2 linked regions of the Diceros bicornis minor genome follow. Each later gene encodes a partner of the first gene's protein in a complex. Links are inferred from orthologs where the notes say so. Each region holds a gene or a part of one and is shown on either strand. Other genes may lie near its edges. The genes, in order: SMARCAD1 and TRIM28.

Region 1 (12,807 bases):
TAAAAGCTGGAGGCCCAGGAAAGCCAGTGGTGTAGCTCCAGTTCAAGACCTAAATCTGAAGGCCTGAGAACGTGTCTGAAGGCTGGAGAGGATAGATGTCCCAGTTCAAGCAGAGAGAGTGAATTCACTGTTTTTCCACATTTTTGTTCTATTCAGGCCCTCAGTGGATTGGATGATGCCCACCCTCATTAGGGAGGGGGATCCGCTTTACTCAGTCTACCAATTCAAATGGTAATCTCTTATAGAAACACCCTCACAGACACACCCAGAAATAATGTTTTATCAGCTATCTGGGTATCCCTTAGCCCAGTCAAATTAACACACAAAATGAACCATCACAGCAGGCCTACATAAATATTTATTCTAATTTAAAAGGTGAATTCTATCCCAATAGGGACCCTTGAAGCAATAATTTATTTCTGAAATCTTAGTCACCACATTTGACTAGTCCTGCTGATAAAATTCTGTTTTATGGTCTATATTCCAGGAACTTTATCTTAACTACCATGTTGAATCACAAAAAATGCCTTAATACAAATTAGAAATGATAAAGCAAATTTTCTGTGACTAAGTATATATTTCTAAAGAAGAGGTGCCTTTGATCTTATTTATACTACTGAGAAAGAGGAATTAGATATCATTGTGGGAAATAATTCTTCCGGCAAAGCAGGCAGAAATGAAGTGGGAGGACACATAAACAAAGTCTATTAAACGTTACTTTTTGTACTCAGCTACTCCAAACGTGAGGTGAAGAGGAAATGAGCCTAAGATTCCCAGACAGTTTCTGAGTCTAGGTATTTTAAGATGGGAAAATAAGGAACATTTTAATTTTAACTGGAAGAATCAGTATACTTGACACAAAAATGTTTGGATATGTTCTAATTATCTATTACTGCATAACAAACTAACCCCAAAATTTATTGGTTTAAAACAATAGCAGTTTTATTATATCTTATGATTTTGTAGGTCAGGAATTTGGACCAAGCAGGGTGATTCAAATTTTATCATTTCTTTCTTCTTTACTAGTTGGAATGCTTTTATAAAGAGATACTTTCCTTCATCTGTTATTTGATTACCTAATAGTGCCCTTCATAGAGAAAAGGCAGGATAAAAGCTTGATTCTTTTCCTAAACTTGTCAGTTTTCATGATAATGAATTGTCTTCCTTTTATTCTCCAAAGACAACCAGTTTTTTACAAAAATACCATAAAGAACTTATGGATTTAAACATATTTGATGGTTTTTACATAATTGCAATTTTTAATTGTATTGAAGTTCAAATTGCCCCATCTTTGTCCAGTAGTAGCAGCCTCTTCAAGTTGACTCCGGAATCTTTTTGACATGATGTTAGTGGTCTTTGATAACTTCCTTGCTTTTGGGTATATGAAGATATTCCAGGTTCACGCTGTACATTTCCTGTCCCAGACTAGAATCTGTCCTTTTTTTAAGAAGTTTTGGTTTCCTTTAGTGGTAAATGATATTTCAAGACCACAATCTTGGAGGTAGGGATGTGTATTGGGCTAGTCAGTTCCTAGGCCATTTCAGTGGACACAGATAGGAAATACACACACGTTACATGTGTATATATATACATATAGGGTGTATCAAACCTCATAAATTCCTACTGATATTTCCAATTCAAATAAAGAACCACTCTGCACTCTAGGCTTTACACTCTAACAACTCTCTACCACATCTGTATCTCCTTTCTTCTACTTGAGAATCCTGGTTCTCAAAGAAAAAGGAAATAATAGAGTTATTCATTTGCTTTATCCAACAATATATATACAACAGTCTCAGAATAATAATACTAGTATACTCACTCAAAAAATAATTTTTTCATGTTTCTACCATTTTTTCCCCCAGTTTTAAGACGTATGCATTGACAGATCATATAGCCATTATATACTATACTCTTTTGCTTTTAAACCTCATATTGTCTTTGTTCTACAAATAACTGTATAGTTAGTGCTCAATATCTATCCTTACATCATTGTCTCTATAGACATTTTGGTTTATGTAGGTCATTTTCTAATAGCTTCTTCAGAAATGCTCATGAGAACAATATCCACAGAGTTCTTGCATAATGTTAAAGTTTATCTGTGCCTTTTTATTTGAAAGGCACTTTGTTCAATATAAAATCACATTTTATTTCCTTGAGCATCCTAAAAACAATACTCCATTTTCTTCTGACATAAAGACTTGCTGTTAAAACTGTGATGATAATATAATTTTCTTTCTCTTTTAGGTCACTTGCTTGCTTTTATCTAAATGTTCGAGGAAATTTTAAAATTTTTCCTTAAAGTCTAAATTTTATTAGAATATGTCTTGGTGTTGGCCATATGGGTTGATATTCTCAGGTAAATGATGTGCTCTTTCAAGATATATAGTTTCAAATCTTTATAATTTTCAGGAAATGTTTTTTGAATTTGAGTTTTTAGTCACTTCTTCCATACCTTTGCTTTGGTTTCCTTCTGTAGTGACTCCTATTATAATTTTGTTGGATCTTCTTTGCTTATCTTCAATATTTATTATTTCCTCTTGAAATCTATTTACCTTTTGATTTTCACTTTTAGGTTTTCTTCCCTTTTCACCCTCTATTTCTCTTAAGTAATTTTATGTTACATTTATTCATCTATGTGTTACATCTAATTTAATCTTTTCTAAAGTACTTTTTCTTTTACTTCTCTTCCTTTCTCAAGTTATGTCATCTCTTCCCTGAGATTTTTTAACTCTATGTTGTTCTTCCATAGCACGTACTATTTTGAAGACACTAAGTTTATTTTAAAATTTATTTGTGGTTATCTGTATGCTTAGGCACTTTAGTTATTAATAGCATTCATTCACTCAACAAATATTTATTGACCATGTACTATGTGCAGACAGGCATTGTAGCCTGAAGTTGAGCCACATTAGCCAATCAAGCTTATTGCTTTATGCAACTAAAACTTTGCAGTTGTTTGTTATGCAACAAAAAGTTGACTAACACACCATATTTATAATTATTAATTCCTAACTATATTTAGTCTCAACAGAATACTTTTACACCATGAATTCTCCATTCTTGAAATCCTCATTTTTGAATTTTTGACCCTGTCAGCTGCATTTGTCTTTAGAAACATTTTAAGGAAGATATATTTTCAAGGAATTAAAAGTTTGAAATTGTTTTTTTCCTTCCACAAATGAATGACATACACGTGATCTAGAAAATTAGTGAGTGACAATCCTTTCCCTCCAGAGCTTTGTAGATGTTGCATCATTACCTTCTGGCTTATAGTTTCAGGAACAAGTTTTTGACTGACTTTTTTTGTCCCTAGTAGGCTGCAGGGTTTTTCTGAAAAAATGACTGCAAGACATTTTTTAAATTCTTGAAATTAAAAAAAAATTCTTTAGGACATTTTTAGTGTACAGTCTCTTTTCATTGCTTCTGCCTTGAATCCAGTAAGCTCTTTCACTTGCAAACTAAAGTGAGCTCATGAACATTTTCTATTATATTTTTCATTATTCTGTTCATTTTGTGTGTGCATATGCTTTTCTTTGATTATATCAATTAATCAAAAGTTGCCTCTCAGTCTTCTGACTCCTATGTTTATCATCCCTTTAAATCACATTGATTTCACCTCTTTGTCTTTTTCCTATGCATTCTAGGGGGAGAGGTGGTTTTCAAATTTTTCTTCCATATTGTTTTGTCCAGGTCTCAGCCTATGAATAAAAATGTTGTGGTTGAACCAGTCTTTGTGATTCTTATTATGACCGCAAAAAGCCCTTCAGCAATAACCATCAGGAAACTTTGAAAAAATAAAGGTTTACTATTCACAGGATCTGGAAATTACACAGCACACCTAGGGCCACACAGTGAGGTCACAGGTAGAGAGAGAGAGCACACAGGCCTGGGGTTCCGTGTTACTTTGTTATATACTCCCTTAACCTTTTGATCCACCATCAAGTAAAATCTCAACCATGGATCATGCCAATCCTCCCAGGTCAATGAATGCTGCAGAACCACCCTACCCTTAGAACTAGGCAAGAGTGGTTCCTATACTGGAACTAGTGCTTTATGGGGCTTAATCTGGCTCTTTTCCAGCTATGCCCAACCACAAAGGGCAAGGAATCCGTGGGGCCAAGAAGATATGCTCACTCAGAACCTGTGCCTTGACTTTTAGACAATGCTTTTGAGTACTTGATCCCTGAAATTCTATGTTCACACAGGTCCAAGAAGGCTAACAGTGGCCTTTCTGCTGAGGGCCAACAAGTCTTTCCAGTATCTATACCCTTAGACCCAACGTGTAGCAAAAAGACCCCTAGGCCCAAGAGGTGATGAAGCAGTCAGGTGGAGGTAGGTTTGCCAAATAAAATACAGGATATCTTGTTAAATTTGAATTTCAGATAGATAACAAATAATTTTTTAGTATGAGTAAGTTCCAAATAGTGCATGGGACATACTTACACTAAAATAGTATTCGTTGTTTATCTAAAATTCAAATTTAACAGAGCATCCTTTTTTTTTTTTTTCCCCACAAATATGGAAACCCTAGGTGGGGTCAGAGTTGGATATTTGAGATTTGAGCTGGGTGTCCATATGCATGAACACAAGGTTCCTAATGGTATCACACTGAGTGAACAGGGAAGGCACCACACTGAGTGAACATGTGTCACAACAGAAGTAGTACCACATTGAGTGACACAGGGAAGGCAAGATACATCGGCCAATCAGTTCTCCTTGAATCACCCACATTCTTTCTGACACATAAGAAGTCTAAATTCAACCTAGCTTTCCAGGTCATTTTTAAAACAGGGCAATACAACATATTTTATTTTTACATTTTGTTAGCTGTACTTATAATGTTTAAATATTTAGACATATGATATGTAGGTCTCCATTTTCACTCTTGCCCCAGCTGTACAAATGTCAAGGGGTTAGGACTGTTGCAGAAAATTCCCCTAAATGGTCAATAGTATCATCAACCACATTTAAAAGATGAGGAAACTAAGGTTTAGAGAAATTATACGTTATTTGCCCAAAGCATTCAGCTAGTGGAATCCATTTTCAATGTTAGATCTGTTTAAATATAAAGCAAATATTCTTTTTTGTATTATGTGTATAGCATGGTGACTATACTTAATAATACCATATTGCATATTTGAAAGTTGCTAAGAGAGCAAATCTTAAAGCAAATATTCTTCATCAAAAACAATTTACTATTTATCAGTTGATATATCCTTTAATCATATCATTTAACATGCGTGCATAAAGCTGGTGCATTTCATGGGATATCAAAGATAGGTATAACGGAAATCCCAATTGTTCAGCCTTTGATTCTGAATTTTATGGGTCCAGACACTTGATTTTACAAGCACGCCATATTTGATAAAATTGTGGGTTCATGTTATAATTATACAATTCAAAACACTGATTTATAAAACAGAATGCCAATTTAAGTTTACAATGACTGATGTATTTGGCAGAATAATGATTTGTAGCATTTCCTCTTTCAGGGAAATGTCAACCAGAGGATCAAATTACAATTCAGAAAATTGCTTGTTTAGTCTAACGTTAGAACAAAGAGAGTAAATATTCTTAAGATAATATTTCCATCAAGATAGGGGAATTGTCATATTCCACCTAAGAACAACGCAGCTAACTAGTGGGGAGGCAGTTCCTATGCTTTGAAGCTCAACATACCGGGTTTTACCCCTTACTAATAATTACTTAACATCTGCAGGCCTGTTTCCTTACTTTGTAAAGACAGCCTTCTTGTAAGGGTTGAGATTATACACATAAAACAACCTAGCACAATATTATCATACTGTCTATATATTATATAAAATATTATAGATTATAATATATCAAATATTACACTATATAGTCTTATTATGCTATTTATAGTTATTGTGCTATTTGTTATTATTCTATTTAACAACCCCCTAGCCAACCTGGAGAAACAGGCAGAAGCGCGCTTCCCAGGCAAAGAGGCGGGTACCAGTTACCATGACAACAGCGCGCGCCTGGACACTTTCCGCTCTCGCGTCGCTGGGGAAGAAAAAAGCCTAGGCTGCGTGTTGCGTCATCACTACGCGCTCGTTGGGACTCTCCGTGCTTTTTAGGAAGGTCCCGGCCCGGCTACCGTCCCCCCCACGCCGAGAATTATTTTTTTTCTTTTCAACCTTTGTTACATCGCATCGAGGCTGCAAGAGTGTAAGTATCTCGGGGAGAAATGAAAGAGAGCAAGGGAGTGAGCATGAAAAGAGATGCCGCAGCACACTCTCCACCTCTGAACCTTCCTTGTGATTTCTTGATCCTATCGGCTTCCTCTCAGCTGGGATCGCGCCGCGTCAACTTCCGGGCGGGTGCCCGCCAGCACGGCCTCCGCCGCTCCCCTTCTTTGGCCTCTTTGTGTCCCGCCGTGTCGAGGCTCGGGCCCTCGCACGTCCTTTCTCGAGGCAGGGAGCACCGTAGTGCAGGGAGCCTCTCACTGTGGGCGGGCGCGCGGCCCGCAGGGGGGTTGGAGTGGGAACGTGCCTGCGCGTGCTGGGGTAAGAGGAGGTTGCACGAGGGTCAGCTCGTGGTCCCAGGAAGGAGGGGCGGGAGGGGGGAGGGGGGGGACGAAGGCGAGTGAAGAGAGCAATGGGAAATTTTTAAAAGGTATCCCTGAGCACCTTCTGATTGTTGTGGCCTAACAATGAGGCGCAGCCATAATAATCATCCTGAGCCACTAGCATGTTTGCGATCTCTTAGCTGCCTTGGGAATGAACTGCTATGGCTTTGTATTTTATATTGTTTTCATGGCCTATTTTTCTCTTTATTTTTTCCCGGCAGATAGTTCATTTAAAGCTCCCAATCCCTCAGGGTGGTGGTTTCTACCAGTATGAATCTTTTCAACCTGGACCGTTTTCGCTTTGAGAAAAGGAGTAAGATTGAGGAAGCGCCTGAAGCAACCCCTCAGCTCTCCCAGCCCGGCCCTTCTTCACCAATTTCTCTTAGTGCTGAAGAGGAGAATGCTGAAGGGGAAGTTAGCAGGGCAGGCACCCCTGATTCAGATTTAACTGAAAAAACAGGTGAGTTACAACGTTGCAAATTGATGTAGCGTCAAGAGATTTTTTTTAAAAGATGAAAGCTGCAAGACATTCTAATTTTTATTCTTGAGATCATACATACTGATGTGTTGTCCTTCACCATGCCCTTTTAGATACAGCTTTTCACTGCCATAGGCACCCTGTGCCTCCAACTGAGTATCCGTCCGTAGTTGCTTCACTTTTACATGCGTTCTTAGAATATGGCCCAATGATGGAAGTTGAAATCAGAATTTAGGTCATCATTAGGTCAGAATGGTTGCTACTGGAAGAGAAACTAGGTGATTCAGCCCTACGATAGACTTTGAGGCTGTTATTGCCAGATGTTTACATTCATTCCAGTATTCCTCCAAAAAATATTGATCACCTGCTGTGAGCTAGACTTTATTCAAGGTGCTTGAAGACAACCACTGTGAATAAATGAAAATCAGATCACATTCATATTTTGCCACCACTTGACTTCCTGGAGATTCCAAAGTACAAATGAATAATTAGTGTTCTTCATGGTAAATGAACCATTTTTAACCTCTTCAGCAGATTGTCATGGACAGTAGGATTTGAGAAGCCAAAAATTAGCATCTCTGTTTTAATCCGTGTTGTCTGGACAGTTAACAATTAGATTATACTTGAACTCTTACTATGTTTTAGGCATAGTGCTGAGTGTTTCACATTCTCTAATTTGCGCAACAATCACGCAAGATATTGTTATCCATATTTTGCAGAAATGAGACCCAGGGAGGTTAAGTTGTTAGGAAGCTGGTAGAAATGGAATTCAAATCCAAGCAATCTAATTCCTGAGCATAAACTTTTAATTGTTTACATTATACAGTTTCTTATGAGGGGTGAGAGGGATATTAAAAGCTTTAATGTTTATTTCAATAATACCTTTTTTTTAATGCAAAACTAAATATTTCACAAGCAGCTCTAAGTTAATGTGGCCCTGACAAGATTGGTAATATGTATGTCTTCACCCTTGGTATCCCTATTTTGTTTGCTATCTTCTACCTAAATGCAACGGTGATGGTAGAGTCCCTACAAGTTAACATGAGAATAACATTTCAAACTTCTCTGGTGTAATTGGAACATGGTGGAATGATTTGGTAGGTTGTATTAAGTGAAAGTTAGCAGTCCAATTTTGAAAGGCTTTGTTTGTCTAAAGAGTTTTGAACTTGTCTGAATTCTGTGGGGAACCTCTGAAGGATTTTAAGCACAGGAGTGACATCCATTTGTTCTTTCAACAGATATTTGATTTGCGTAACATGCTGTATTTAATGTCTAAACATCCAGGTACTTTAGTATTTTAACAGTAAATATATTAATCTATTTCTTATGTAGTTAGGGCAGGGAAAGTCAGAGTGTAGGCATGGGATTTTGAGTCCTTAGAAGTCTCTGTTTCATGTTAGTTAAAGGGGATATTGGACAAGTCACTTAAAATCTGAGATCCACAATTTTTTCGTCTCTAAAATAAAAGCATTTTGTAAACTGGAATTGAGTGGAATGTTTTAGTTATTTATCAACATGAGTAATGTGAAATTCTTATTTGCCTTTTCTAATCAAAAGATGTTTTTCTGCCTTTTTCTTTCTGTTTGAAGAGACTTCACTCATTTTCTCTTTATTGGGACTTTTTCTTTTCACACATAAATTCCTCTTAGAAACTAAGATTGCCTTTAGGAATCAATCACATAGTGAGTCTTGATGACACTGGGAAAGTTTGTTCTGGGATTGTTGAGAATTCATCCTATTAGAAATAGAGAGCTTTGCTTTAAGAAAAGATTATTGTAAATGATACTGAGTTTTAGAGAATCTTGAAAACTAAAGCTAAGTTTAGGCTTTACCTTATAGGTACTAGGGATCCATTAAAGACTGCAGATAGAAGAGTAAGATGATGAAAGAAAGTTATTTAGTTATTTTGTGGAAAAATCAGTCTAGCAATTGAGAGTACTGTACATTATAGAGAGTACGGTTTGAAGGGAGAGAAATCGTTTAAGAAGCTCTTATAATGTAAACTTGATGGCAGTAGAAATGGAGAACAAGATGTGAGAGATTTCCAAGTAAGAGAAGGGCAAGGTTTTACAACAAGATCCATGGTAGGAATGAGATAAAATGAATGTTAAGAGTTTTCGCTTGGATAAATTGAATAAATAAAAGGATAGTTCTGTACATCAGAATAGGTATGAAGTACCCATCATAAGCTATTGGGCATGCATTTGAAAATTGAGCTAAGAATCAAAGGTGCTGTCTGCAATTTAGTGTGTTGGAGTAGACCAAAGTCAACTTAACAGTGTGGGGTTGGGGGGCTTGCTGAATTGAGTGTTATGGCTTGGGCCTATGGCGAGGACAAGATACTGAAGTTAGATTTAAGATCAGGACTGGATATGGAGATTGGGGAATCATCACTGGGGTACAAATACTGACCTTACTTTCTTTATCATCATATGGTAACTTACTCTGCCATTGCAGGATAGTGCTGTATTTATTTACAGTAGGTTAGGATCTAAGTCAGCTTATAGGATGGAAATTGTGTATAGTTGAGATGACCTGTAATCACTCTTTTTCAGCTATTCCTCTTTTATCTAATATGAGTTAAGATTTTATTCATTACCATTCTCCTTCAGTTACTATGCAGCAGATACACTCTTCCTTGAATATGCCAAGCACAGTCCAGTCTTTCCTTCTTCACATTTGCTCTTTGCCTCCAAGACCCTTTGTGCCGATATTTGCATATGAGTCAGCTCCTTCTTTCCTTAGGGCTTAGTGAAATGTTACCTTTTTTAGAAGGCCTTCACTTGATCACTTTCTCTGAAGTAGCAACTCCCCTCCCCCCCAGTTTTACTCACTGTATTTTTCTGTATAATATTTATTACTACCTAACATTACATTATGTATTTGTCTCCCCCTTATTAGAATACAGTCACGCATTGCTTATGACGGGATACATTCTGAGAAATGTGTTTTAGGCGACCTCATCATTGTGTGAACATCATAAAGTGTTCTTACACAAACCTAGATGGTATAGCCTAGTACACAGCTAGGCTATATAGTACTAATCTTATGGGACCACCGTCGTATATGCAATCTGTCATTGACTAAAACGTTATGTGACACATGACTGTATAAGATCCATGAGAGCAGAGATCTTGTCTGTCTTGTTCACCTATTCATCCCCATTGCTCAGAACAGTGACTGGCGTGTTGAAGGAAGGAGTATTGGTTGGTAAGTGGGTGATATTAGTACTTTGTACATATTTTTAAAATATCTCTCCTGCTCCCTATGATCTTGAAACAGTCCCTTAGCCATCAGGCATTCTTCAGCCATGGATACTTTACTTTTGGTACAGGACAGGCTCCTTTCTTTTTTTTTTTTTTTGTGAAGAGGACTAGCCCTGAGCTAACATCCGATGCCAATCCTCCCCTTTTTTCCTTGAGGAAGATCAGCCCTGGGCTAACATTCGTGCCCATCTTCCTCTGCTTTATGTGGGACGCCGCCACAGCATGGCCCGAGGACAGTCTCCTTTAATCCAGTCTTTGGATGTGAGGGCATACACTTAACCTGTGGGTACCTTCCCTCCTCCCCTCCCCAGGTTTATTTTACTCTCACAGTGGCCAAAGTTATCAATGGTTATTGCTTATACTTTATTTCTCCTTTTTCTTTGACTTTTTTGGGAGCATAGTGGGTTTGGAGGGAATAAAGCAATGGCAGATGAGTGAGCCTACAGTGTTTTATGCACAAACGATAAAAATATGAACAAAGCATGATCCTCAAGGAGCACTGAGAGGAAAGGACATGTAAATTTATATAGTTAAAATGGTACATAACTCATGTAATAGGGGAGGATATTAAGCAGTGTAGGACCATAATCCAATTCACAAATGATTAAATTATCCATTCTTCCTGGGGAGGATCAAGAAAAGTCATAGATGATTTTGAGTGGACCCTAAACAATGAACATTGCTTATTCAGTGAACAAGGGGTGAAAATATATGTTGCCTTGAAGAGTCTGTGGTATGTGTATGGGAACGGAGAGGTTATCTATGGAAGAGGAGGTTTAGGGCAATATAGATGAAGCTGAAAAGATAGAAATGTAAACTGTTGGGTTGTGAGGGGTCAGGGAGGATGGACTTTATTTGGTACACGCTTTAGAGCATTTCAGTATGGGAAAGCCATTAATGAAGCTGTTGTATTCATTGAAGCCTAAATGTAGGGAAATGACGGTAGAGATGACAGAGGAGGCAGTTTAGGAAAGTTTTAAGTGACGTGTGTTAGATGGTATTTGATGATCAGTTAAATGTGGAGGATTTAAAGATAACTTGAATCCAACTTGGTTGGATGGCTGAGTGGCACTATCAACTGAATTAGGCAAGTAGGATTAGGAGGAAGATACTAAAACATATTGAGTTTGAATCACCTCTCATATTTCAGTAGCAAGGTCTAGGAAAGAGTTGAACATTAGAGTTGGAGCTCAGAGAGTGGTCTAAACCAAAAAATGTCTTAAGCAAGGTGTATATTAAGAAGCATCAACATTTAGTGGTGGACAAAGGAAGGGAAACCAATGAAAGATATGATATAAAGGATGATTAGAATAGTCATAGAAAATGATAAGGCCCTGGGAGCTAAAGAAAGAGAGTTTCCAGTTTGGTGTATTATGAACAATATCAGATGCTATAGAGAAGTCAAGTTGGATGGGGACTGATGAGACCCCACTTTCCTTGGAAATTAAAAGTTACTGTTGATCTTTAACAGACAGTTTCAGTAGAAAGGTAAGGAGGTGAAGACTATTCGTTCAAGAAGGGAAGAGAGAAGCAGCTTGACAGGGAAGCAATGTCAAGAAAAGATGTTTCAGGACAGTTGAAAATTGAGCATATTTGTTGACCAAGGACAAGAAGCTAGTGAAGAGGAAAAGGATGAAGGGAGGGGAGGTATCTGAAGAGAGGCATCAAGAGAATGGGAATGGGAGCACAGCTGGACTGTTTAACTTTGCAAAGGAATAGAGACACAGTTTACCGGGGGAGAAACAGTGAAAGATAAAAATCGATGGGTTCATAGGTTATTTTGAGGTTGAAATGGAGGAAAGTTTTAGTTTATGCTTGATGAATTTCTTTTCTTGGTGAAATAGATTGTCTTCTAAAGTGATTGCCATTTTAATGTGGTTGTCATGTTGAAAGTAACCATTGTTAGTGAGAAAAAGAGTTTAAAGTTATACCAGTTATCAAAAAGATTTCCAGAGAGCACTGCTCTGCCACGTACAGATTGTGTGATCTTGAATAAGACATCAGCGTTTTTGGACATCACTGCCTTTGTCTAGATGTTCCTCTGAAGTCCCTACAAACAGTAAAATGGATATGATCCTTTGAATGATAAAGCTTAGGGTATCATTTTGGTGTCATGATTCTGTAACCATCGGGTGATACTTAGTCCTTTTTAGATGTGTGCCCAAAATGTGAATCATCACTGTATCTTTAGATAGTCATTCTAGTTTCTCAATACCTGTTAGTGTTAATTGAAAAGCAGTACCTGGTAAAAGGGTTGCTGTTGAGTTGTTTTAATAGAAAGTACAATGAGTACTCATACTTAAGTAAAAATCTTAAGTACATTTTAAATGTACCTCTTTTGTATGTGTTTTCCTTCTCTACCTTTTTACTTTCCATGCTTAGCTATTGTTTTCTTCAAAATAAAATGTTATATAAAAAACTAAATGATACAATATTGTATAATGAAGAGAGAATCTTCTGTAATCCTT
Region 2 (12,285 bases), on another chromosome or scaffold:
CTCAGTGGTGCTGCCTGGGAACACCTTGAATACTGGTGGTTGGCTGTCAGCCGTGAGGTCCAGGTCCAGGCGCTCGAGGCTCACCCGTGGTACCTTGCGCATGAGGCCGCTCACCTCACCCTCCCCAGAGCGGGACCTGTTGGTGCGCCTTGGCATGAGCACCCATACCTATGCCTACCCTGCTCCACCCAAGGATAGCCACACTCACCGCTTCACACCTGACACATGTGGCTCTGCACTCGAATAAGGGTCATCTGCTCAAGACAGAAAAAGAGACAGCAGGTTAAGGTAGACCTAGGGCACTGGAACTCTCCCACCTACCAAGCAGACCCACTCACCTGACCCAAAGCCATAGCCTTCCTGCACCTCCATGGGCTGCGGGCAAAACAGTTGAACCTCAGTAGGCAAGCATCCCATGGGACCCCACACCCCTCTCCTCCCCAGAGTCCCCCTCCCCTGCTCACTTGGCTGCTGCCAGATCCCTGCTTGCTCAAGGGCCCTGGAGGCCGCGGAGGGGCCATGGGCGCAGGGCCTGTCGAGTTGGTGCCAGGACGCTCTGCCACGATCTTGCCTATAGGAAGAAAATAAAGTTAGCATAATAAGCACAGTGCCTGGGATGGTGACAAGGTACAGCACGGGGAAAGATAAAGACTCACCAAAGGCCTCCGCACTTTTGGTCCAGGCGTTGAGGTCCCACTGGAACTTCATCTCGCCATGTGGCTCCACAGGGTCCACGATCATCTTGAGGGCCCGGTGCAGCTGAAAGTAGATCTGGGGATGGGGCAGTGCTTGAGTATAAATGCAGCGAACAGGGATCCAGGGTGCTGGGAGGCACCTCCCTGAAACCCACCACCTGGGTGCCCACCAGCACAGCACACACCAGCTTCTTGGAGAGCAACAGGGCTGTGTTGTTGTCACTCTCCAGGGCCCAAGAGGCAAAACGCAAGATGTGTTCCTGGTGCTTCTGGATCTTGGTCATGGTCCAGTGCTGTCGCTCCAGGCGCTCCTGCTGCCCTTCAGTTACCTTCTGTGGATGAAAGGGCAACGAGGTTGACCAGAGAAGAGGGCACTAGAACGCCTCCCCACCCAAGGATGACATCAGCAGCCAGCAGAGAGCCCAGGAACCCTCCCTCGCACATGGGGAGTACCTGGGCATCGTTGACCAGCACACGACCCCGCTTGTTCAGTTCCTTCATGATCTGCAGAATGGCCATCTTAACATCCACCTGCACACGCTTCTGTACGTCAGATACTTGGCGAATCCTGGAGGCAGGGTTGGTCAAGTCAGGTCTAGTCAGGCAGGTGCTCACCCAGGGAACCCCATGACCCTGGCATCTCCACTTACGAGCTGCGAACCTCCTTGGTGTTCTTCTGCAATGTCGCATGCTTGTCTCCCAGGCGCTTCACCAGCGAGGCCAGGAGCTTACGCTGGTTCCTCACTGCGTCCTCCAGAAACTGGTATCTGAGAGCAGACAGAAGTAGTCCTGCACACTGTGCATAGGAACAGACAGCATCCACCCACTGACCCACCCTACCTCAGGACTCACTGGTGGTCCTTGTGGGCATTGAGCTGGCAGTCCCGGCAGGTGAGGGTGTCGCAGCTCTCGCAGAACAGCACGAGGGGCTCATGCTTGTGCACATTGCAGTACACCGTGCGCTCACCATCCCTTGACTTGGCAGGCCCTGGGGAACAGGAACCATGAGGCTGGAGCTTACCCTCAGCCACTCAAGGAGCAGACAGGGCTTGGGGCCTCACTTCCTGCCTGTCCTGGGCTGTCTGTTGGGAAAACCCAGAGGGCCCTGAAGCAGTGGCCAGAGAAACACAGGCCTGAGAACCCAGATCCTTGCTCTCAAAACCCTCTGTCCCAGCCTGCCCCTCCTTCCAGCTTCTGGCAGTAACAACACAAAATGTAAAGATGATGATCTCTGGCAGGAGAAACCTCCCCTCTACTGTTCCCTCTACTAGAATCTTCTCCAGGTGGACACTCAGGAGAGACCCTCCTCCAAACCCCCCAGTGGGCTCCCTTTCTCCTCCACTCACAGCAGGTTCTGTCCAGAAGAGAAGGGGATTCTGACTACTGTGGCAACCCAGCATGCAGAATATTCACTTTCTGGCACAGACAGAGAGCAAATCAGGGCCTAGAGACAGGCAATTTCCTTAAGAGCAATGCTTGGTGACCTCCCCTCTCCTCTGCTAAGAGAAGAGTGTTGACTTCTTACAACCCACAGGCCCACAGGAGGCCTTGCAAAGCCTTCTCAGGCTGGGAGAGATAAGACATCAGACCAGGACACTCAGAAAGGTATCAGGCACCCTCTCCACAGGGAGGGTCCTGGTGCTCAGAGTAATACCACCAAGAAGCCAATATACTATGCTGACCCCCCACACACACACAGAGCCTGTCACCATCAGAAGGCTGTTTGGGAACATCTGCTCTTCTTTCCTCCCCAATCCCAATTATGTGCCGGGTACACCAACTCGGCTTGAGACATAACATTGAAACATAGACCAGCCAGGCCTTGGCTCCTCCAATATTGCACCCCCTGCACCCTGAACTTTGTCTGGAACCCAGGACACGCTGCAGACCCCTGCCCTTCCCTCGTGGCTCCTCATGCCCCAAAGCCACCATCTCCACCCTCATCTTCCTACCTCTGAACTGAACAGACCACAGTGTAACTACCAAAATGCCACTCACAAGGAGTTCTGGACTAAAAACCAGGCTAGACTCAGAAGACTCCCAAGCCCCTTAATGTACCACTGCCAACATATTCACAAAAAAATCTAAAAATACTTGCCTGATCTTTGAATAAGACACCTACAATACAAAGCGAAAATACTTCTAAGACTCACTGTCAATGATGGTCTAAGGGCCCTCACAGCTTGTCAACATACTGTAGCCCAGAAGCCTCACTTTCCCCTACAGAGCCTTAAACCAAATGCCAGAGAACCCCAGATCCAGGAGGCCCCTCACAACCTTCCCCAAATGCCTTGTTTCCCTGACTGCACATGCCTGTCCCTACACCACTGGAGCCTATCCCAATGAGCTTCCTCAAACTCTCGTACATTCCCCTGAGGGTGTGTACTGAGGTCCCTTGTGCGCTCCCCAGCCCTGTCTGTGGCCTTTCCCCGCCCACCTAGACCTGCAGAAACTGCATACCAGAGCCCCAACCTCCCCATTTCTGAGTTCTGCCCTCAGGCCCTTCAGCTGGTACCCCCTAAAGCACTTCCCTGGGACCCATTCGCCACTTGCAACCTGCATCATAAGCAACTAAGGGCATATGTAGGAAGACAGTCTGGGCCACCCCCTCAGCCTTACATACCAGTGGAGCGCACGGTGTGGTCCTTGGTGTACTTCACCCGCTGGTGTGCCTCCACACACGTCTCGCACAATGGCTCAGAGCACTCCACACAGTAGCTGGTGGCAGGAGCATTATCCTCACAGCTAGTGCAGCACTGCTAGGCAAAGGCAGAATCAGAGAAGACAGAACCACCAGACAGATACTCATTTACATCCCAGGAACTACGACCTGAAGCAAGGTGTTGCCTTTACCTAGCCTAGGCAGCCTACCCAGACCGCTGTAGTGTCGGGAGAATAAAATCTCCCGTTGGTACCGTGCTCCTGGGCTGGTGCCCCCCTCCCCATGGCCTGAGGCTTCCTGGAAGTTGATGGAGAAAGAGATACCTGATTCGCATCCTGGGAGTCGGAAGCAGCCTTGCTGCCACTGTCGCGCATAAAGTAATTCTCCACAATGTCTTTGGAGAAGCATTGCTGCTTACACACAGGACAGTCCACCACTGCGAAAAACAGGAAGGAATAAGACCACTGCACGTTCACATTCAGGCTGTAACACCATCCCCGCACAGGGCCCCAATCTCCATTCCATTCCAGGCCAGACCCTCCCCTCCCGGGGCAGGAGCCAAACCCTTCCTTCACCAAACTTGAACCAGACCCTTCACCAAACTTGAACCAGACGCTCCATCTCAGCGCCCGATCCAGCCAAGCACTGTACAGGTCCCTATCGTCCCGCCCGGGCGATCCCCCGCCATCACCACGCAGGTAAGGCCCCCAATCCCTGCGCCAAGTTGGGATAAAACGCTGCGTGGTCGGGAGAGGGGCCAGCCCGTACTCACCGGCGCCATCGCCCGCTGCACCCCCGTCCCCCGAGCTGTTGGCGGCGGCGGGCGCCGCGGGCCCGAGGCAGGCGCTGCAGGCCGAGTGCAAGCAGGGCAGCAGGCGCGGCTCCCTCTCGGGCCGCAGGCGCTCCCGGCACACGCCGCAGTGCTCCAGTAATTCCAGGGCCTCGCCGCCGCCCCCCGCGGGTGACGACGCTGAGGCCGAAACCGAGGCCGAGGCCGAGGCCGAGGAGGCTGCGGCGCGCTTTTCGCCGCCCGCCGAGCCCTCGCCCGGGCCCGGGCTGCCCGAGGCGGCCGCCGCCGCCGCCGAGGCCGCCGCCGCCGAGGCCGCCATTCACACGCCGCCGGGGGCGCCCAGGGAGGAGGAGGGGCGCGGGTCCCGCCGCGCAGGCGCAGACGCGCTCGCCGCCAACGGCTGGGCCTCAGCCGCCGCGAGGCCGAGCGCCGCCACGCGCCGCCTGGGCCGCCGCCCGCTGCGCGCGGGGCGCTGCCGAGTACTGGCCGCCCACTGCCTGCTCGCCTCCCGCAGCCGACGCCCGCGCTTCCTCCTCAGCGGCCGCCAAGACCAGCGCCACGCACCACTCGCACAACTGCTCACCCTCGCGCCCGCTCGCAGAAAGAGCCGCTGTTGGGGGGCGGGACAGAAATAACTGGCGCCGACGCCGCCGCGCAGGCGCGCTAGGCGCCTTGCGCCCGGGGGCGGGGCTCAGGTCGGCAGCCGCTGGCGAAGCCGCGAGTACGCATGCGCCTGAGCCGGGTCCTCCTACCTCCGCCTACACCACCACCGCGCCGCTCAAGCGGCAGAGGCAGGGCATCTGTGACGTCACTGCCGCAACCTAGTCCGCGGGCGGGGCGCGCGCATAGTTACTAGGGTGTGCTCCCGAGCCAGCCCCTTCTCCAGGCCGCTATAGTGCGCATGCGTATTAGCAGTCTGGGCCTCCACCTCAATCCCGGCCCCTTTGGCCGGCCCAGAGAAGTCTCTGGTTGCTGCGTCAACAAGCGTTCGGGAGAGGGGGCGGGACACAGGAAGATGGGCGGAGGGTCCCCGTCGGAGGAGGAAGTGCTCTTCTGAGCCGGGAGGCTGACTTTTAACGTTTTTATTGTTTAACACGAGAAACACTGAAACTTGCCTAAATCAAACAGATCCCAAGAGACTACAGAGCAGCGAGTCACCTGGCCCCCCAAGCGCTCCCTTCCCATCTTTCAGCCAGCCGCTGCGCTGACTGATGCTTTTCCAGGTGGGCAAACTGAACCTAACAGTGGGGGAATTCTAAGGAGGAAAGCAGGGTCTGGGGGAGTGAATCCTGTCGGAGGAAGCAGGATCTGTAGAGAGGGGAATCCTCCCTCAGTGGGGAGTAGGATGGGGGCAGGTGAGTCTTGTCTGAGGGAGGAAGCAGAGTGCGGAGAATTCTGTCAGATGGGGAAGAGCAGGCCTGTGGGGGTGGGAGACATCCTATTTGAAAGAAACATGGCGTTTTTGTGGGAATCCTGTCTGAGGGGAAGCAGAGTCTGTGTGGGGAGAATACTGTCTGAGGTGGGAGCAGAGTTGGTGGGAGCAGGGTCCGTGGGAGGGGATCCTGTCTGAGGTGAAGCAGAGTCTGTGTGGAGAGAATCCTGTCTGAGGTAGGAGCAGTCTGTGTGAGGAGAATCCTATCTAAGGTGGGAGCAGAGTCTTTGTGCGGAGAATCCTGTCTGAGGTGGCAGCAGAGTCTGTGGGAGGTGATCCTGTCTGAGGGGAAGCAGAGTCTGTGTGGGGAGAATCCTGTCTGAGGTGGGAGCAGAGTTGGTGGGAGCAGGGTCTGTGGGAGGGGATCCTATCTGAGGGGAAGCAGAGTCTGTGGGAGGGGATCCTGTCTGAGGGGAAGCAGAGTCTCTGTGGGGAGAATCCTGTCTGAGGTAGGAGCAGTCTGTGTGAGGAGAATCCTATCTAAGGTGGGAGCAGAGTCTGTGGGAGGGGATCCTGTCTGAGGTGGGAGGAGAGTCTGTGGGAGGGGATCCTCTCTGAGGTGGGAGCAGAGTCTGTGGGAGGGGATCCTCTCTGAGGTGGGAGCAGAGTTGGTGGGAGCAGGGTCTGTGGGAGGGGATCTTGTCTGAGGTGGGAGCAGAGTTGGTGGGAGCAGGGTCTGTGGGAGGGGATCCTGTCTGAGGTGGGAGCAGAGTCTGTGGGAGGGGATCCTGTCCGAGAGGAAGCAGAGTCTGTGTACGGAGAATCCTCTCTGAGGTGGGAGCAGAGTCTGTGGGAGGGGATCTTGTCTGAGGGGAAGCCGAGTCTATGTGGGGGGAATCCTGTCTGAGGTAGGAGCAGTCTGTGAGGAGAATCCTATTTAAGGTGGGAGCAGAGTCGGTGGGAGCAGGGTCTCTGGGAGGGGATCCTGTCTGGGGTCACTAGGCACGGAGAAAACTCGAGGGATCGGTGCCTCGGAGCTGGTCCCTGGGCTGGGCCTTGGCCCCCTGTGCAGGGCTCCTCGGTCCTGAGGTCTCCAGGCCAGGATGAGGCTGGAGGGCACAGGTCTGAGAGGATGCAGAGAGCCTGGAGGGCCGGCGGGTCCAGCCCCGGGACTCGACTCTACTTTTCCAGACCTCGCACACGCCCAGGCTGCGGGGAGAGCGGGGCGCAGCCTCCCCCAACCCAGCTCCCCAGGAGCCCACACGTGGCGGCGGCGGAGACGCGTCCGGCCCTACTGGGCTGGGTGTGGCCTTTGTTGCCGCCGGGGGTCCGCAGGGCTTTGTCTCCGCGCCCGCCTTTGTTCCAGCCCTGGCGCGGCCCCCAAATCCGGGCGCCGCTCCGCCCCCTCAGCTGCATAGTCCCGGCCTCCGCGGCCACCGGAGCAGGTCCGCCGGGCCACGCCCCCTCACTGACTGGCCCGCTGCCTCTTAATCGTTCCCGAAGACCCTGTCCACGGACCGTTGCTTACTTCCTCTGATAATTGGGAAGGAAATTGGTGGCTGGCAGTGCACAGCGTGAGGTGTGGCGTCCGTTAGTAATATTTGCTGAGCACTTTCCACGACCCCACCCTGCACGGGGCCGCAAAATCTCTGAGGAGGTGTGGGGAGGACTGACCCATATTTACTCTGGCTCCTGAGGCAGACGCAGGGTTGTCAGGGACCAGACAGTCAAAATAACTAAGTGGTGGTAAAGAGTGTGGGAGAGGACTCCCCTTGGGGCTACTCCCAAACACCTGCAGGAAGGACAGTTCAAGCAGAAACAATAAGTACAAAGGCCCTGAGGCAGACCAGGCACAAAGGGAGCAGTGAAGTGAGGAGTAGTGGGAGGTGCCTAGAAGTTGCCAGACAGCTATCTGGGGATAGGTTTGGTCCTCTGGTTGCCCCTGGTTACAGGCCCTTCACTAGACTCTGGCAACTGGCCCTGTGGTTTCAATGGTCCACCAAGGCCCATGCTCTTCTCTCTAAACAGTCCCCCCTTTCTCCTTCTGGGCCCAGGACATTCCTTCCTAGTCCTTGGCAGCCACACAAGCAGGATGTCACCAGGTGCCAGCAGCAGGCCTTGGAGAGTCCCCTTACCACCAGGTGCTTGGCCACTGCCAGCCCCATTGTCCAAATGGGGAAACCAAGGCTTCTGGAAGTGCCAGGACAGCAATGGGGGAGGAGAATCAACTGGAAACCAGGCTCAGGCAGACTCAGGGAAGCACAAGGGGCATCCTAGGACTGGCTGAACCAGAGTGGGCATACAGGAGGGCAAGGCCAGGGCAGAACCCTTGCTCAGAGGTCCTCTCTTAGGAGCCAGCCTATTCAGAGGTCCAGAGGTGTATGGCAGGACACAGGTACATCTTGGCTCTGTCCCCCAGCTAGACCCGACTGAGTGTAGTCAGTGTCAGTGTCACCTTATACTCTCATCCTCTGTGCTCCTTGCCCACCCTTTACAGCATCTTACCCTTCCCAGTCCTGGACCACTGGAAACTGTCTCTATTCTGGCTTTGCAGACAGGGCTCCAGGGGTGAAACAATGCATAGGAGTCACTCAGACTGCACCCAGGCCAGCCAAGGCCTGCCTACTGCCCCTTTGGGGCACCTGCCTGCAAACAGGCACCCTCACTCTCTTCCTTCCCCAAACTCCACACCTGCACCTGGCTCTCCATCCAGCTTCAGGTGTCACCCCCAGAGCCACTTCCTGGGGAGGTCTTGTGGCTACATCACTCCAATCTCTTGCTCTGTGTTCACAGATTTCATTCAGGAGCTAGACAGTGGTGATGGTTGCACAACACATGAATGTACTTAATGTCACTGAATTGTGTACTTTAAAATAGTTAAGGGCCAGCCCCGTGGCTTAGCAGTTAAGTGCGCGCACTCCGCTGCTGGCAGCCCGGGTTCGGATCCCAAGCGCGCACCAACACACCGCTTCTCCGGCCATGCTGAGGCTGCATCCCACATACAGCAACTAGAAGGATATGCAACTATGACATACAACTATCTACTGGTTCTTTGGGGGGAAAAAAAAAGGAGGAGGATTGGAAATAGATGTTAGCTCAGAGCCAGTCTTCGTCGACAAAAAGAGGAGGATTGGCATGGATGTTAGCTCAGGGCCGGTCTTCCTCACAAAAAAATAAATAAATAAATAAAATAGTTAAAATGAAAATTCTTTTTTAAGGTTTTTTTTTTTCCTGAGGAAGATTCACCCTGAGCTAACATCTGTGCCAATCTTTCTCTATTTTGTATGTGGGTCACAGCCACAGCATGGCTGACGAGTGGTGTAGGTCTGCACCTGGGATCCAAACCCACCAACCTGGGCCGCTGAAGGGGAGCACGCTGAACTTAACCGCTACAACACGGGGCTGGCCCCAAAATGAAAATTTTATGTTATGTGTATTTTACCACACACATAAAAATCAGATTTTGATGATCAGATCAGCAGGGTCTGTCCCTGCTGACCTCTGATCTACCACTCAGCTCCAACTACACAGGCCAGCCTGTTGTTCCCACCTCTGGGCCTTTGCACTTGCTGTTCCCTCTCCCCAGAATGTTATTCCCCACCTCTCTTTCTGGCTCCTTCTCTTCTTTGACATTTCAACTAGAGTGAATCATGAGGACATGAGTTCCAAACTGCTCGTGCTCACTACTGCATCTGCCATGTCTATCCCAGGGCCCGCTCCAGAGTAGGGACTCAGTAAATGTGTAAGAGGACACACAAATTCATGAAGATGATGACTGTCTTGACCCTTCCAGTTTTGTAGGCTACAAGATGAGGTTTGGGTTCTATTACTTTTTAAATTTTTTAAAAATTTAAAATTCATGTAACATCTGGGGCCAGCCGGGTGGTGCAAGCAGTTAAGTGTGCACACTCTGCTGCGGCGGGCCGGGGTTCACTGGTTCGGATCCCGGGGGCGCACCAACGCACTGCTTGGTAAGCCATGCTGTGGCAGCGTCTCATATAAAGTGGAGGAAGATGGGCAGGGATGTTAGCCCAGGGCCAGTCTTCCTCAGCAAAAAAAGAGGAGGATTGGCAGATGTTAGCACAGGGCTGATCTCCTCACACACACACAAAAAAAGTTCATGTAACATCACATTCATCATTTCAGCTATTTTAAAGTGTACATTCAGTGGGATTTCATACATTCACAATGTTGTACAACCACCACCTCTGTCTAGTTCCAGAACATTTTCATCACCCCCAAAAGGAAACCAGCACTCACTCTCCATTCCCTTTCCCACCAGCACTGAGCAACCACTAATCTACTTTCTGCTTCTTTGAACTTTTTAACCTTTTGATATAATATGTAATTATATAATATAAGGCTTATAATATGTACAGAAAAGCACACACATCATACATACAGTGAGCACCCTGGGTAACCAGCTCTGATATCAAAAAGCAGAACATCCCCGGCTCCCAGAACCTGTTTATGCCCCTCCTAGCCCCCGCCATCCTGACTTCTCCCACCACAGACAAGCTTTGCTGGTGTACACATGGAACCATGCAGGGTTTAGCGGGTCAGTGTCTGGCTTCTTTCCCCGAGTGCACATCCGTGTGGCTGTGTGTGGCCTTGGTTCCTTCCATGTCCTTGTGTAGGGCCCCATCACACAAATGCCCTACACTTGTTTATACAGTCTCTTCTTTTTTTCTTTTTTTTTTTTTGCGAGGAAGATCAGCCCTGAGCTAACATCCATGCTAATCCTCCTCTTTTTGCTGCGGAAGACCGGCCCTGAGCTAACATCTATTGCCAATCCTCCTCCTTTTTTTCCCTTTTCCTCCCCAAAGCCCCAGTAGATAGTTGTATGTCATAGTTGCACATCCTGCTAGTTGCTGTGTGTGGGACACCGCCTCAGCATGGCTGGACAAGCGGTGCATTGGTGTGCGCCTGGGATCCAAACCTGGGCTGCCAGTAGTGGAGCGCACGCACTTAACCGCTAAGCCGTGGGGCCGGCCCCTGCACAGTCTCCTCTTGACCACACTTGAGTCTTCCTCCTGCTTGTGCTGTTATGAACACAGCTGCTGTACCATACATGGCTTTTGGCTTGCTTTTTCTTTAATTGTAATGAGGAGCTAGCAGAAGGTTTTAGCAGAAGATGGCATGATCTGATTCCCATTTCAAGGGTTTCAGGTGGGAAATGGATGTGGGGGAGGGCGGAAAGCAGAAGATAAGCATCCAAGCAGGCCGGGCGGAAAAGGCACTAGATCCTCTAAATCACCCTTTAAAATCACTTTGGCTCCTCCATTAGTTTCCTATGGCTACTGTAACACATTACAACAAACTAGGTGGCTTAAAACAAAAATTTAACTCACAGTTCTGGGGGCCAGAATTCTGAAATTGAAGTGTTGGCAGGGCCATGCTCCCTCCGAAGGCTCTAGGAGAGAATCCTACCTTGCCTCTTCTAGCTTCTGGTGGTTCGAGGGGTTCCTGGGCTTGTGGCTGCATCACATCAATCTTGAAGGCCAACATCTTCAAATCTCTCTTTGTTCCAAATTCATATTGCTTTTCCCTCTGTGTGTCATTGCTATGGCTGAATGGTATCCCCCCCAAAATACATATGTTGAAGGTCTGCCAATGTCATAGTATTTGGAGATGGGGCTTTGGGGAGGTAATAGGGTTAGGTGAGGTCATGAGGGTGGAGCCCTCATGATGGGATCAGTGTCCCAGTAAGAAAAGAGACCAGAGAGCTTGCTATGGTCACAAAGAAGAGGTCATGTGAGCACACAGCAATACGGCAGCCTCCTACAAGCCAAAAGACGAGGTCTCAGGATAAAATCTACCTTGCCGGCACCTTAATCTTGGACTTCCCAGCCTCCAGAACTGTGAGAAGTAAATTTTGGTTGTTTAAGCCGTGCACCCTATGATATTTTGTTATGGCAGCCAGAGCAGACTAAGACAGTTTTGACAAATTTCCCTCTGTCTTGCTTTTGTAAGAAAGCATGTGAATTTACATTTAGAGCCCACCCGAATAACTCAGCATAATTTCTCCATTTCAAGAGCTTTAATCACAATTGCCAAGATCCATTTTCCTAGTAAGTTAGTACTTCCGATACCAAACCAAGTGGGCTCACCTCCTGGTGAGTTAAATAAGACTCTACACCAGTGGAAGTTATCTCACAAAGTAAAGTGTATTTGCAGCAAATAGGAGGCCATGAGGAATCATTTCCAAAGTCATGGCATCCCTGAACAAAGGGAAGCAGGAACTTTTATTTTGGTTGGGGAATGAATATTCAAAAGGGAGAGGTGGGTACACTGCAGATTATGGTAATGAGGCTTAATCTCTTCCTGAAGAGATCTTTGCATTAAAAATAAGGCAAGGTTGGGGCTGGCCCCATGGCATAGTGGTTAAGTCTGCGAGCTCCTGCTGCTGGCAGCCTGGGTTCGGATCCAGGTGCACCTCTTGTCAGGCCATGCTGTGGCGGCATCCCATATACAGTGGAGGAAGATGGGCACAGATGTTAGCCCAGGGCCAGTCTTCCTCAGCAAAAAAAGAGGAGGATTGGTGTGGATGTTAGCACAGGGCTGATCTTCCTCACAAAAAAATAAATAAATAAATAAGGCAAGGTCATGGGCGGAGCTCTTGTAGGGAGGCTTGGCCAGCCTTAGGGTGGCGGCTGATTGTGTCTCCTCAACACAAAAAAAACAACTTGGAAAAACAATTAAATGCTTCCAAACCCAGCCTTGAGTTCCTTGGGGCACTAGTCGATGACACTTCCAGGTTCCAAAG

What was found.
Region 2: the proteins of SMARCAD1 (region 1) and TRIM28 are in contact, whole or in part, in a crystal structure (PDB 6H3A), measured with the Homo sapiens proteins. The link is inferred for Diceros bicornis minor from reciprocal best matches to the Homo sapiens genes SMARCAD1 and TRIM28. Residues at the interface, in NP_001362784.1 of Homo sapiens: Asp156, Leu157, Ala160, Lys161, Gln163, Thr164, Glu167, Leu168, Phe169, Asp188, Gly189, Ala190, Ala192, Leu196, Ala201, Gly202, Gly203; in NP_005753.1 of Homo sapiens: Arg330, Trp333, Thr334, Lys337, Ile338, His341, Leu376, Lys377, Ile379, Val380, Asp381, Val383.

What each region holds. Positions count from the first base shown.
Region 1 is NC_080747.1:77,532,345-77,545,151, forward strand, and holds the start of SMARCAD1 (SWI/SNF-related matrix-associated actin-dependent regulator of chromatin subfamily A containing DEAD/H box 1), read left to right. Parts: upstream 1-6,091; 5' UTR 6,092-6,195; intron 6,196-6,262; exon of another isoform or gene 6,263-6,533; intron 6,534-6,816; 5' UTR 6,817-6,865; coding exon 6,866-7,055; intron 7,056-12,807. UniProt on the Homo sapiens protein: DNA helicase that possesses intrinsic ATP-dependent nucleosome-remodeling activity and is both required for DNA repair and heterochromatin organization.
Region 2 is NC_080773.1:38,308,960-38,321,244, reverse strand, and holds the start of TRIM28 (transcription intermediary factor 1-beta), read right to left. Parts: upstream 4,747-12,285; 5' UTR 4,467-4,746; coding exon 4,130-4,466; intron 3,794-4,129; coding exon 3,681-3,793; intron 3,452-3,680; coding exon 3,319-3,451; intron 1,684-3,318; coding exon 1,548-1,683; intron 1,463-1,547; coding exon 1,346-1,462; intron 1,264-1,345; coding exon 1,149-1,263; intron 1,028-1,148; coding exon 881-1,027; intron 772-880; coding exon 657-771; intron 572-656; coding exon 465-571; intron 376-464; coding exon 339-375; intron 255-338; coding exon 209-254; intron 137-208; coding exon 1-136. Other genes in the region: ZBTB45 (zinc finger and BTB domain-containing protein 45), read left to right, coding at 5,359-5,370. UniProt on the Homo sapiens protein: Nuclear corepressor for KRAB domain-containing zinc finger proteins (KRAB-ZFPs).